3 linked regions of the Canis lupus familiaris genome follow. The protein of the gene in region 1 purifies or fractionates together with the protein of each later gene. This does not show direct contact. Links are inferred from orthologs where the notes say so. Each region holds a gene or a part of one and is shown in the gene's direction. Other genes may lie near its edges.

Region 1 (3,744 bases):
CATCCGGGGCCCAGGGTTGGGACCCAGGCAGGTCTGCTGGGCACATAATAGCACAATTGAGTTTCACTTCCTGTCAACCCCCGAGCTGAGGCAAGATGTTTGGGGGCACAAGGAGGGGCCTAGGGTTGGTGACTTTAGGATTCTCTCTTGCAGAAAGGTCCATTGATCCATGCATCCCTCTAGTTAAAGGCTTCATTACGCATTCTCACCTCTAATAATCATTAATAACAAGACTAAGGACAAGATGCTGACCCAGTGAGGCTGAAGCCCAATTGTTGCAAGAGAGCAGGGGTTGGGGCACCTGGGTAGCTCAGTGGTTGGACGTCAGCCTTGGGCTTGGGTCGTTATCTGGGCATCCTGTGTCTCTGCCTCTTTATGTCTCTCATAAATAAAATAAATACAGTTAAAAAAAAAAAAAAGACAGCAGGGATTAAGAATGGCAGTGTTAGGGATCCCTGGGTGGCACAGCGGTTTGGCGCCTGCCTTTGGCCCAGGGCGCGATCCTGGAGACCCGGGATCGAATCCCACGTCGGGCTCCCGGTGCATGGAGCCTGCTTCTCCTTCTGCCTATGTCTCTGCCTCTCTCTCTCTCTCTCTCTCTGTGACTATCATAAATAAATAAAAAAAATTAAAAAAAATATTTAAAAGAATGGCAGTGTTAGAACATTGGGAATAACTGTGTATTGAGTGCCAATCAGTGCTTAAGTGAATCTTTTAAAAATTTTTATTTATGTATTCACGAGAGACACAGAGACCCAGGCAGAGGGAGAAGCAGGCTCCCTGCAGGAAGCCCGGCGCGGGACTCGATCCTGGGACCCCGGGGTCGCGCCCTGAGCCGAGGCAGACGCCCAACCGCAGAGCCACCCGGGCGCCCCTAAATGGGTCTATTTGGGACCTTCTGAGCGGGGCCTCTGGTGCGAGACAGGAAGGTGGAGGAGGGGATGGACGACAAGCGACGACCTGAGAAAAGTTCAAAGCTTCCTATCAAAGTTTTAGGAAGTTAGGCAGTGCTCTCGCCTCTCTCAAGCGCGTGCGGCCTAGTGTCGGAGGTAGGCCCTGAGGCCGGGCCCTCGCGGTGCAGGGGACGTTAACGTAGCGTAGTCCGTAGCCCGAAGCGGGGGCCTGGGGGTCAAAGATCCGCAGGGAAGGGCAGCGCAGCGGGAGCGCGGAGCCAAGCCCCAGGAGAGGAGCCTGCCGCCGGCCGCTCCCGGGCTGCGGGGCGACCTCTGGGTCCCTCCGGGGAGCGGGAGGCACCGGCCGGCGGGCGGAGGGAGGGGCCCTGCACGCGGCCGGCTCCAGCTCGAGGCCCGGCGCCCAGACCTGCGCCAGGTTAATGAGACTCTAAGTGGCTCCGCCCAGAGGCCTCCGCCCTGCCCTCCGACCCCGGGGCCGGCCCGAGGAGGCCGCCGGGCCGGCCGGGGATCTCGGCGGCAGCCCGGGCCGTGCGGGGCCGAGCGGGCGGCCCCCGACAAGGCCGGGCAGCCGGTGCGCGCCCGAGGCCCCGGGGCCCGGGGGCAGGGTCCGGCCTGACCCCTCTACCGGCCCGCGCTCCGGGTGCCGGTGGGCCTTGCCCCTCTTCCCCGAAGGCCCCGGACGGACGGAGGGGCCGAGCCCCGGAACTTCTCTCACACGGACCAGGCGCCCGATATTGGTATCACTGGCCCTACTAGAGCCTCCGGCTTTTATTTTATTCAAGTCTTTAGCTTCTAGCTGCCTTTAGTCTTCAGCTTCTCCGCCGCCTCCGTCCACGAAATGGTGCACTCTCCCTTTAAGACTAAAATGGTGGCTGGCTGCGATCTGGACTCCACTTCCGGTGGGGAGGGGGGCGGGACCCCAGCCCGCTCACGCCGGAAGTGGTTTGCGTTTTCAAGATGGCGACTCCCTATGTAACTGACGAGACCGGCGGTGAGTGCGGGAGGCGCGGAGCCGCTTCTCCCCGGGCTCTCGGGGCAGGGGTTCGGACTTGGAAAGGGGTCTGTGCCCCGCCCATCTCGGGGCCCCTCCTTTTGCCCCGCCCTCCGGACCGCCTTCCCCATTCATCCTCTCCTGTGGGGTGTCACCTGCGCCCCCTTCTGGTCTCGCGTTTGGGGGTCCCTGCTTCCGGTCACCCAGACCCTGGGGTCCTTCAGTGAGGTCCCTGCTCCAGGACCCTCCTAGGCCCATAGCTTTCCTCCAGCAGCTGGAGATCCCATATCTCTCTTGGCTGCTCCAGGTGTGGGAACTCCTATACTCTCAGTTCCCTCCAATTCCAGCTTTACTCCGGCTCCCCTCCCCCACCTGGCAGCTGTACCTGCCCTGTGCCCTACCCCAGCCCCGTCTTGGTTCTCTTCCTCGAAGCTCTATCTGTTAAAGACCTCTTCGTTGCCATAGAGTGCTTTTTCCATTCTCTCCCTCGCCTTCATTTTTGGGTCACTGAGGTTCAGAGGTGTGAAGGGAAGAGGAATCGAGTATAACTTTCAGCTTGAGTTTTCTTCTTGATGGCATCACCCTTCTGTACCTTCTCTGGTGGTGGTGGTGATAAAAGTCGAGGGAGCTGAGGTGGAAGAAGGCAAACAGGAGGTGTCTAAGTGGCCTCTCAAGCCCTGTGACAAGTTCATAGAAGCCACGATTCTGGCTAGAGAAGAGTTTCCGGCCTGGCTGGTGGAGATGCTGAGGTGTATGGAGGTTGATGTGTTGAAAACTGGAAGTCAGTATTTTCATTTTGGTTTTGTCCCATCCTGATTTCCTCATCTTTAGAAAAATGTGCCTAGGAATATCTACCTAGTGACGATCAAGTAAGATAGCATATGTGAAAGCAATTTATAAAAAGCTGTACAAGGCTAGGTGTTACTGGTTTTTGTGGCCTTGGCTGTGTACATGCAGTCTCTTGTAGACGTGACACTGTGTGTGCTGCTGTGCTCTGAATTGTGCCCTTTATGCTTCTTGCTTTGCTACTTTCCATGTTCCTTAGGTCTCAGCCCACCTCTCCTGTGGTATCTTATGACAAGCCGGGTCTCTGCTACTTGTCTCCAGCCTCACATTTCAAAGTGGTGCACAGAACCTCTTCTGTTCTCTACAGAAGATCCTTCTTCTACTGGCTCCTTTTAATGTGAGCTTTGAAAATATTACTTACTGTTCAGTGTGCTTTTCTTTATTCAACTATTTTCTTAAAACCTATTTCACAAAAATCCAGATACCACATTTCACTCTACTCGCCCACTAAGAGTTATCTTCTGTTCTCTGACTATGTAGAAGAGAAGGAATAGCACTGCTTTTTTTTTTTTTACTTTGTCTTACTACTTCCAGATCATTGACCTACCACTGTCATTCTAATCTTTGTGGAAGGTATTGCCATGCAATTATAGCATTTTCTCTAAAATCTCAGGGCCATCATTTATTGCCCATAAGGACCCAGACCTGTTGCATCACTTTTTTCTCCACTGTGTTTCTTGCTCTTTTTTTTTTAAAGATTTATTTATTTATTTATTTATTTATTTATTTATTTATTTATTTATTTATGATAGACATAGAGAGAGAGAGAGAGAGAGGCAGAGACACAGGAGGAGGGAGAAGCAGGCTCCATGTTGGGAGCCCGACGCGGGACTCGATCCCAGGACTCCAGGATCGCGCCCTGGGCCAAAGGCAGGCGCCAAACCGCTGAGCCACCCAGGGATCCCCTGTTTCTTGCTCTTATTCTCAGTATCTCCAGCATCTTTGAAATATTCTGGTCTTATAGTTCCTCAGCACAAGATGGTTGACTTTCCT
Region 2 (3,744 bases), on another chromosome or scaffold:
GCGGGACTCGATCCCGGGACTCCAGGATCATGCCCTGAGCCAAAAGCAGACAGACGCTCAACCACTGAGCCACCCAGGCGTCCCTCATTTTATTTTTTATTTTTATTTTATTTTTTTGTCCCTCATTTTAAAGATAAACTTGAGTGAACCTCGAGATTCACTGATCCTAGGAGAGGAAGGGACTGATGACTGTGGCGTGGAAGGTTAGTTCACACCTTCGATCATAGCGAATCAAATCACACAAGGATTATTTTAACACAAGCTTCCAGTGATTTTCCCTCTTCACACCCACTCTACACCAGTTATTTTTGGGGGGAAGAAAAGGAGTAATGCTAAGACTGGGAATGAGAATCAAGAGGCCACTGACCTCAATGAAGAACAGTATACAATTACAGTGGTCAGGCCCCCAGAATGATGCCATCTTAGCACGGTCTCTAGACCTGATTTCACAATTCCCTGCTCTCACTGGAACTTCCACGAACTAATGCAGTTTCCTAATAATTAGGGTTTTGACTGTCCTTTGCCTACTCAAGGAGGAAAATTTTCCACAGCCTGAAAGACTTCACAGAGGTCAACCAATTTGGCCTGAAAGGACAAGGGGCTCTTGGGCATCAGTCCTGCCCCGTTGTTCATCTGGGGCGGGGGGGGGGGGGCGGGGGGGGTTTGCAAAAAAGTACCAACGCCCAGGTTCAGGGCGGCGAGAGAACCTGATTGTCTGGTTTGGGGTGGGGCCCAAGCATCAGTATTTTTAAGATGCTCCCGAATGACTCCGTTGTGCAGCCAGGTCGGAGAATCCCTGCCGGGTAAGCAGAGCCTAGAAAACGAGAAGGGGAAATTCCATATCCAGTTTAACCTCTACCCGCAGCACCTGCTCTAGAGACCAGTTAAGTAGAAAGGGAAAGGTAGGAATTAAAAAAAAAAAAAAAAGTAAAAGTAAAAGGGATAAAAGGGAGAGGTCAGTTCCAGGGAAACGGCAGCGGCACCACGGATTCAGGAAAGGCGTCTGTGGGGAGCGTTTCCGTGAGCAAAGTTCGGCCGGAGCCAACTTCTGACCCACGCGCCAGCGCGTGCGGCGGTCCGTGGGGTCAGCTCCTTCATCACCGACGGTGAACAGCTGTCTCGGGCTCGCCCACGTTGGGCCCACGCACACGGAGGTCGAGCCTGGGGCGCAGCCCTCGCGGAGCTCAGCCGGACGTCGTGAAGCAGGGTCCCCAGACCCGCCGCCCAAGCCCGGGCGCCCTCGCGTCGCCTGCGGCCTCGAGCCTCGGGAAACCCGGGGGCGACCCGTGGCCGCGCTCCCGCCGGCGGCCGAGGGGGCGGGGCTGCGCTGACCCCGCCTCCGGGCGACGGGGCTCTGGTTTCCGCCGGGGGATGCGCCAGACTTGCCGCCACTTCCGGGAACGCAGACGGCCTGGGCCGCTTCGCAGCGACCGGCAGCCTCGCCTTGACGTCACATCCGCGCGCCCCGGTAAACGTCAGTGTTGGGCGCACAGCGCGGCGACGAGGTTTGCTGGTCAAGTTTCGTCTCCGTTGCCTCCTTATGAACCATGGAGAGTGACTTTTATCTGCGTTACTACGTGGGTCACAAGGGCAAGTTCGGCCATGAGTTCCTGGAGTTTGAGTTCCGGCCCGACGGTAAGAGCGGCCTCTGGCCCCGGCCGAGCGAGGACGGGGCCTGGGGTCGGGCGAGCGGGGAGGCCCGGGCTCCGGAATGTGCGAGGAGGAGCTAGGAGAGGACGGGACTGATGACTGCGGCGCGGATCTGAAAGGGCCACTCCTGTGACCGCTCCGCTGGTTCTTCCCATGTGCACGAACTTTTTTTTTTTTTTTTTTTTTTTTAACTAGAATGCTTCATTCAGCAGACACTGATTGCATACTTTGTGCCAGGCTCTCTTTCACAATTTGGGACAAGTTTCCTCTCATAGCGTATATATTCTGGTGCTGGGAGAGATATAAACAAACAAAGATTTCAGATAATGACGAGTGGTCAGAGCATGAAACAAAACGATGGAGTAATTGCTAAAAAGTGGACTGCTTTTAAGCAGAGTGGCCACTGGCGTGCTCTCTGGAAAGGTAGTATTTGAACTGAATCCTAAGTGACAAGAAGGAGAGCCAGCTTTGTGAAGCTCGGGAAGAAGGGCATTTTGGACAGAGGGAGTAACAAGTGTTAAGGCTTTGGGGCATGAACGAGCATGTTCCAAGTGGCCAGTATGGCTGAGGAAGTAGTGAGCTCCGAGGAGAATAGTAGGAGACAATGTCAGATAAGCAGGGGTACACCATGTAGGTCTTTACAGGCCATGGTGGAGAGTTTGGATTTTATTCTAAGTGCAGCAGGAAGCAACTGGAAAGTTTTAAGGAGAGAAGAGATGTGATCTCTTCCTGAAAAAGTATTCTAATCATGGAGTATGATTAGAAATAGAGTAATGATTAGAAAAAGTAATCTATTCTAATCATTGCAAGAGTGGAGACAGGGCAACTTATTAGGAGACAGTGAACAGTTGTCAAGGTAAAAAGGATGCTGGTTGGGACTAAGGTACTATCAAAAGCGCATAGAAGGGTTCAGGATACTGTTGGAGGCAGAACCAATAGGACGTTGCTGTTTGATAAGATCTGGGGGAAGGACCACTGTGGGGAGGAAAAGGAATCAAAGATGACAAAAATAAAAAATAAAAAACCTCCCACTAAATGGGGGCACAAAGATGAATCTGACAAGCCCCAGTTGTAAACAAACAATGATAGGATAGTGTGTTTGATGCTGTGGTACAAAGAAACGGAAGGGACTCTGGAGCAGAAAGAAGGCAACCTAACCTAACCCTCAGGTAGCCTGAGGATGGGAGAAAGCTTCCTGCATAAAATGACTTGGGGGAAGAGGAGTGATAGTCTTAGTAATGTGCAGGAGTTGGTTAGGCATTTGGACATCAACATCAAAGAAGCTGAAAACCAAAAAGTGCATGGGATGTTTCAAGCAGAAACCAAGTAAGGTGGTTAACTCCAGCTGTGTAAGAGTGGACTATTGCAGGAGGGAGCCTGAAAGGCAGGCAGGGGCTCAGCTTAGCAGTTATGCCATGTTGAAGAATTTGGATTTTTATCAAGAAGGCAGTGAGAAGGGATCCCTGGGTGGTGCCAGCAGTTTAGCGCCTGCCTTTGGCCCAGGGCACTATCCTGGAGACCCGAGATCGAGTCCCATGTCAGGCTCCCAGTGCATGGAGCCTGCTTCTCCCTCTGCCTGTGTCTCTGCCTCTCTCTCTCTGTGTGACTATCATAAATAAATAAAAATTAAAAAAAAAAAAAAAAGAAGGCAGTGAGAAGCTATTGTCATTATCAAAGTGTTAGAGTAACCTGGGGCACCTGGGTGGTTAAGTAGTTGAGCGTCTGCCTTTGGCTCAGGTCATGGTCCTGGGGGCCTGGAATCGAGACCTGCATTGGGCTCCCTGAAGGAGAGCCTGCTTCTCCCTCTGCCTATGTCTCTGTCTCTCTCTCTGCATCTGTCATGAATTAATAAAATCTTACCAAAAAAAAAAAGTATTAGAGTAACCTAATTAGATTGGTCTGTTACTACATCACTTTGTCTACCGTATGGAGAATGAACTGAACCAAGAGAGACAAGGCAGAGATAGTGAGTGCAGTGAGGCATCAATTAATCTGGCTCTTTTTACATGTGTAATCCCAAAGGTAAAAATTCATCTATTTCCTTTTCTCTTCTTTTCCTTCATATCTAGCATATAGCCTTTTGGATGCATATAC
Region 3 (3,735 bases), on another chromosome or scaffold:
AATGAATAAAATCTTTCTCATGAATAAATAAAATCTTTTTAAAAAAGAAATGAAGGGAGGGTCTCTAAGGTGTGGAGAATTCTAGGGGAGGAACATCCTAGGGGAGGCAGTTGCTGGGAAGAGGAGGCTCTAAAGGGAAGGGAATTCTTAAGTAGATTTTGAAGGAGGGAGGCTCTAAAAGGGAGAGAAATTTTGTGAAAGGGGATTCTACCGAGGAGGTTCCAGGAAGGGTGGATTGCGGGCAGAAGTAGATTCCGGGGCCCCTGAGTGGACGAAGATTCGGGGAAAGAGGAGCTGAGTGAGGGCTCTGAAGAGGGGGGGGGGAGTCTGGAGGAGACTCTAAAAGGAAGGGAATTCTGGTGAAGAGTAGATTCTGAGCGTGGGGCGCTAAAAGGAGATTCTGGGAGAGGATTCTCGGAGCAGGTGGGTTCTGAATCCTGAATCTGGAAATCCCGCCTGACTTCCGGCTGTGGGTTCCGTAGGTGCGATTCCGAGGGAGGATTTGCGGAGCAGGGGAGGACGATAGCCAGTGGCGAGGGGTAAACGGGAGCCTCTTCTGAGGACCGTGAGAATCGAGCTTTTGGGTGGAGGGAAATTTTTAAAGAGCCGAAAGGCAAACGTGGCAGCGGGGGGGCAACGACCAGGGTGAGTGTGAAGAACAGCGGGTGTTCAGCCTTCTCCAGCGATTGCACGCAGCGCACTTCAGGCCCCGCCCCTTCCGCTCCCAGGTCCCGCCTCCTCCGGTCCTTGGACCCACCTTCCCGCCGCTATTCCGAAGTCCCGCCCCCTGGCTGCAATATGTGCCGTCAAGCTCTCTCCCGTCGCGACGTAGCTCCCAAAGCGCCTGCGCAGACCCTGAAAAGCGGCTGGGGCGGCCCCGCATTTTCCTTTTCCGGTTGCAGCGCCGCGCGGTGAAGAGCTCTTCCCTACCGTCGCAGCCATGCCGTCCAAGGGTCCTCTGCAGTCCGTGCAGGTCTTCGGACGTAAGGTAGTCTGGGTGCCCGAAGGGAGGGGCGGAGGGAGGCGGGGGTCAGCCGTTGTGGGGTGGACATGGGAGCCGGGGGCCGAAGCTCACGTGGCTGCGCGGTTGCTCCCTTGCTTTCCACAGAAGACGGCCACCGCCGTGGCGCACTGCAAGCGGGGCAACGGCCTCATCAAGGTGAACGGGCGGCCCCTGGAGATGATCGAGCCACGCACGCTGCAGTACAAGGTGCTGGATTGGGGAGGGGCGTTTGGGTTGAGTGGAGGCCTTTAGCTAGAAAGAGATGTTTAAGTAAGTCGGTTCCTGGAGTTCATTGGCCTTGGAAGCTGGAGGATATTTAGAAACAGTTGGGGGCAGAGAAAAAGGGGCCTTGGGAAGTGGTTTTCGGGGGTTTGAGATACCGTGATAAAAGTTTGAGTGGGCAGAGTGAAAACGTGGATATTGCAGATATCCACGTTTGCTTTGGAAAGCATCCAAAGAGGGTCCTTTCAGGGACACCTGGGTGGCTCAGAGGTTGAGCATCAGCCTTCGGCTCAGGGCGTGATCCTGGAGTCTGGGATCGGGTCCCACATCGGGCTTCCTGCACGGAGCCTGTTTCTCGCTCTGCCTGTGTCTCTGCCTCTTTGTGTGTCTTTCATGAATAAAGTCTTTTTTTTAAAAATGAAGATGCTTTAAAAACTCGGATTTTTGGAAGTCCACTCACTGGGGGAATGAAAGGCAACAGGAGTTGGTGCAGTCTGGTTTCTTGCACTAAGTTAATGCGGGACGTGTGTTGTGTTCACAAGCTAACATCTTTTTTCCTGCTAGAGTGTAGACTCAGAGAACAGAAATCAATTTCTTATTTCTGTCAGGGTTTCTTAAAACTTTGTAAGAGTAGGGTTTGGACACTGTTGATGGTCAACAATTAAATATTGGAAGAACAGAAACAGAATTTGGGTTTGTTGTGATTTGCTGTGAAAGGGGTTCGTGGTCCCCTGCGTGTTTTTGCCTCAGTTTCTTGAGCTCAGAATGGAAAGAGCAGAGTCTGTTTTTTGCCTGTTTTATATATGTTATTGTTTGAGGGAAGTAACTTCATTTTTCTTTTTTGGGTTCTTCTATAAAAGTGGGATAACTATTACCTTGAAGGACTGTTGTGAGGATGAATTAGGTTGTTAGTGTAAACTGCTTAACATGTGAATAAATGCATTTGTTTCTTCATAAAGTATGTTGCTTTTATTTTATTACCTTTGAATTTTTGATTTTAGTGTAGTGGGCACACAATGTTACATTAGTCTCCAGTGTGTAGGGTTGTGGTAAAATTGTTACTTTTAATTGCGGAAAATAATTTTACTGTAGTAGGTTTATTAGTTAGAATTTAATAGGATAGAGTCTTAGATGCCTTGGCATAGTAGATAATCGAGTACTGTGGTTTACTCTTACCGACTGTCAGTTATACAAAAGTTTTGCTTGTGTGTCCTGTGTACAGAGCGGTGGTCCCAGGCCCTACCCTCATAGAGCTCCTAGTCCACTGGAGGAAGCAGACTGGACCCAGTACCAGACACTAATCCAGCGTAGTCTGTTGGAATGGAAGAACCCGGAGAACGCTTCCACTTAGGTGGAAGGATCAGGACAGGCTTGGGGAGTGGGTGGAAGTGATGATGGGGATCTGTGAGCTGAGACCTAGAGTAGGTAAAACAGGAGCACGCAGGCACTTGCAAAACATCTAGAGCCAGCAAGGGGATAGCATGGCACAGGTTGTGTAGTATTGTAATTTGGAAATGGGAGGTTCAAAGGGCTGGGCAGAGAGCTCAAGGGGAGAAATCCAGAAAAAGCGCAAGACATGGTCCAGGAGTGGCTTTTCACCGTTTGCAGTAGTTTTGGTGGTTGTAGAGGTTTGCCGTGTTCAGTTAAAATGCTAACACTTTTTTTTTTTTTTTTTAATTTTTATTTATTTATGATAGTCACAGAGAGAGAGAGAGAGAGGCAGAGACACAGGCAGAGGGAGAAGCAGGCTCCATGCACCGGGAGCCTGACGTGGGATTCGATCCCGGGTCTCCAGGATCGCGCCCTGGGCCAAAGGCAGGCGCCAAACCGCTGCGCCACCCAGGGATCCCAATGCTAACACTTTTAAGAACCAGTCCTAGAGATGGGAACACTGAGGCCCAGAGGGACAGAAATAGGAGGGCCCAGCTCAGGTTGCCTTCAGGAGTCTCTCATCCATCTTCAAGTGCTCCCTGCTCTCCTGGCTGTGCATCTCCTTGCCCACTAGTGCTTTGAGGTCAGTGGTGGCAGTTATTTGGAGAGAGAGGAGTAGGGTGCTCAGTGAGATAGTCAGCTGTCCAGGTTGTGATAGGAAATCCTGTCATGTCCCCTGTTTCTCCAGCTACTGGAACCTGTTCTGCTTCTGGGCAAGGAGCGATTTGCCGGGGTGGACATCCGTGTCCGAGTGAAGGGTGGTGGTCACGTGGCCCAGATTTACGGTAAGTTCCAGGAATTGGGCGTATGGCGGGGGGGTGGGGGACGGATGGGCAGGTGGCTCTGAGAGCCAGGCCCTATTCTTGGGCCTTCTCAAAGCTGATATACTCTTCTGTGCATGTATTTCTCTCACAGCCATCCGCCAGTCCATCTCCAAGGCGCTGGTGGCCTATTACCAGAAATGTGAGTGAGAACGGCTCCTTCCCGTGGGTGGGTGGGTGGGTGGCAGGTTGAGGACCAGCCCCTATCTTCATCCCAGAGACTGGGGGATGCTTCCACCGCTCTGACCTTTCACTGTC

Evidence for each region.
Region 2: the proteins of PYM1 (region 1) and MAGOH purify together in Homo sapiens (co-immunoprecipitation; 8 studies listed by BioGRID and IntAct, counting the BioPlex papers as one, with this or other methods). This does not show direct contact. The link is inferred for Canis lupus familiaris from reciprocal best matches to the Homo sapiens genes PYM1 and MAGOH.
Region 3: the proteins of PYM1 (region 1) and RPS16 purify together in Homo sapiens (co-immunoprecipitation; 3 studies listed by BioGRID and IntAct, with this or other methods). This does not show direct contact. The link is inferred for Canis lupus familiaris from reciprocal best matches to the Homo sapiens genes PYM1 and RPS16.

The regions. Positions count from the first base shown.
Region 1 is NC_049231.1:616,555-620,298, reverse strand, and holds the start of PYM1 (partner of Y14 and mago), read left to right. Parts: upstream 1-1,488; 5' UTR 1,489-1,871; coding exon 1,872-1,905; intron 1,906-3,744. UniProt on the Homo sapiens protein: Key regulator of the exon junction complex (EJC), a multiprotein complex that associates immediately upstream of the exon-exon junction on mRNAs and serves as a positional landmark for the intron exon structure of genes and directs post-transcriptional processes in the cytoplasm such as mRNA export, nonsense-mediated mRNA decay (NMD) or translation.
Region 2 is NC_049226.1:56,149,024-56,152,767, forward strand, and holds the start of MAGOH (protein mago nashi homolog), read left to right. Parts: upstream 1-1,417; 5' UTR 1,418-1,547; coding exon 1,548-1,635; intron 1,636-3,744. UniProt on the Homo sapiens protein: Required for pre-mRNA splicing as component of the spliceosome. Plays a redundant role with MAGOHB as core component of the exon junction complex (EJC) and in the nonsense-mediated decay (NMD) pathway.
Region 3 is NC_049222.1:114,582,014-114,585,748, forward strand, and holds the start of RPS16 (40S ribosomal protein S16), read left to right. Parts: upstream 1-827; 5' UTR 828-940; coding exon 941-988; intron 989-1,108; coding exon 1,109-1,210; intron 1,211-3,344; coding exon 3,345-3,441; intron 3,442-3,571; coding exon 3,572-3,619; intron 3,620-3,735.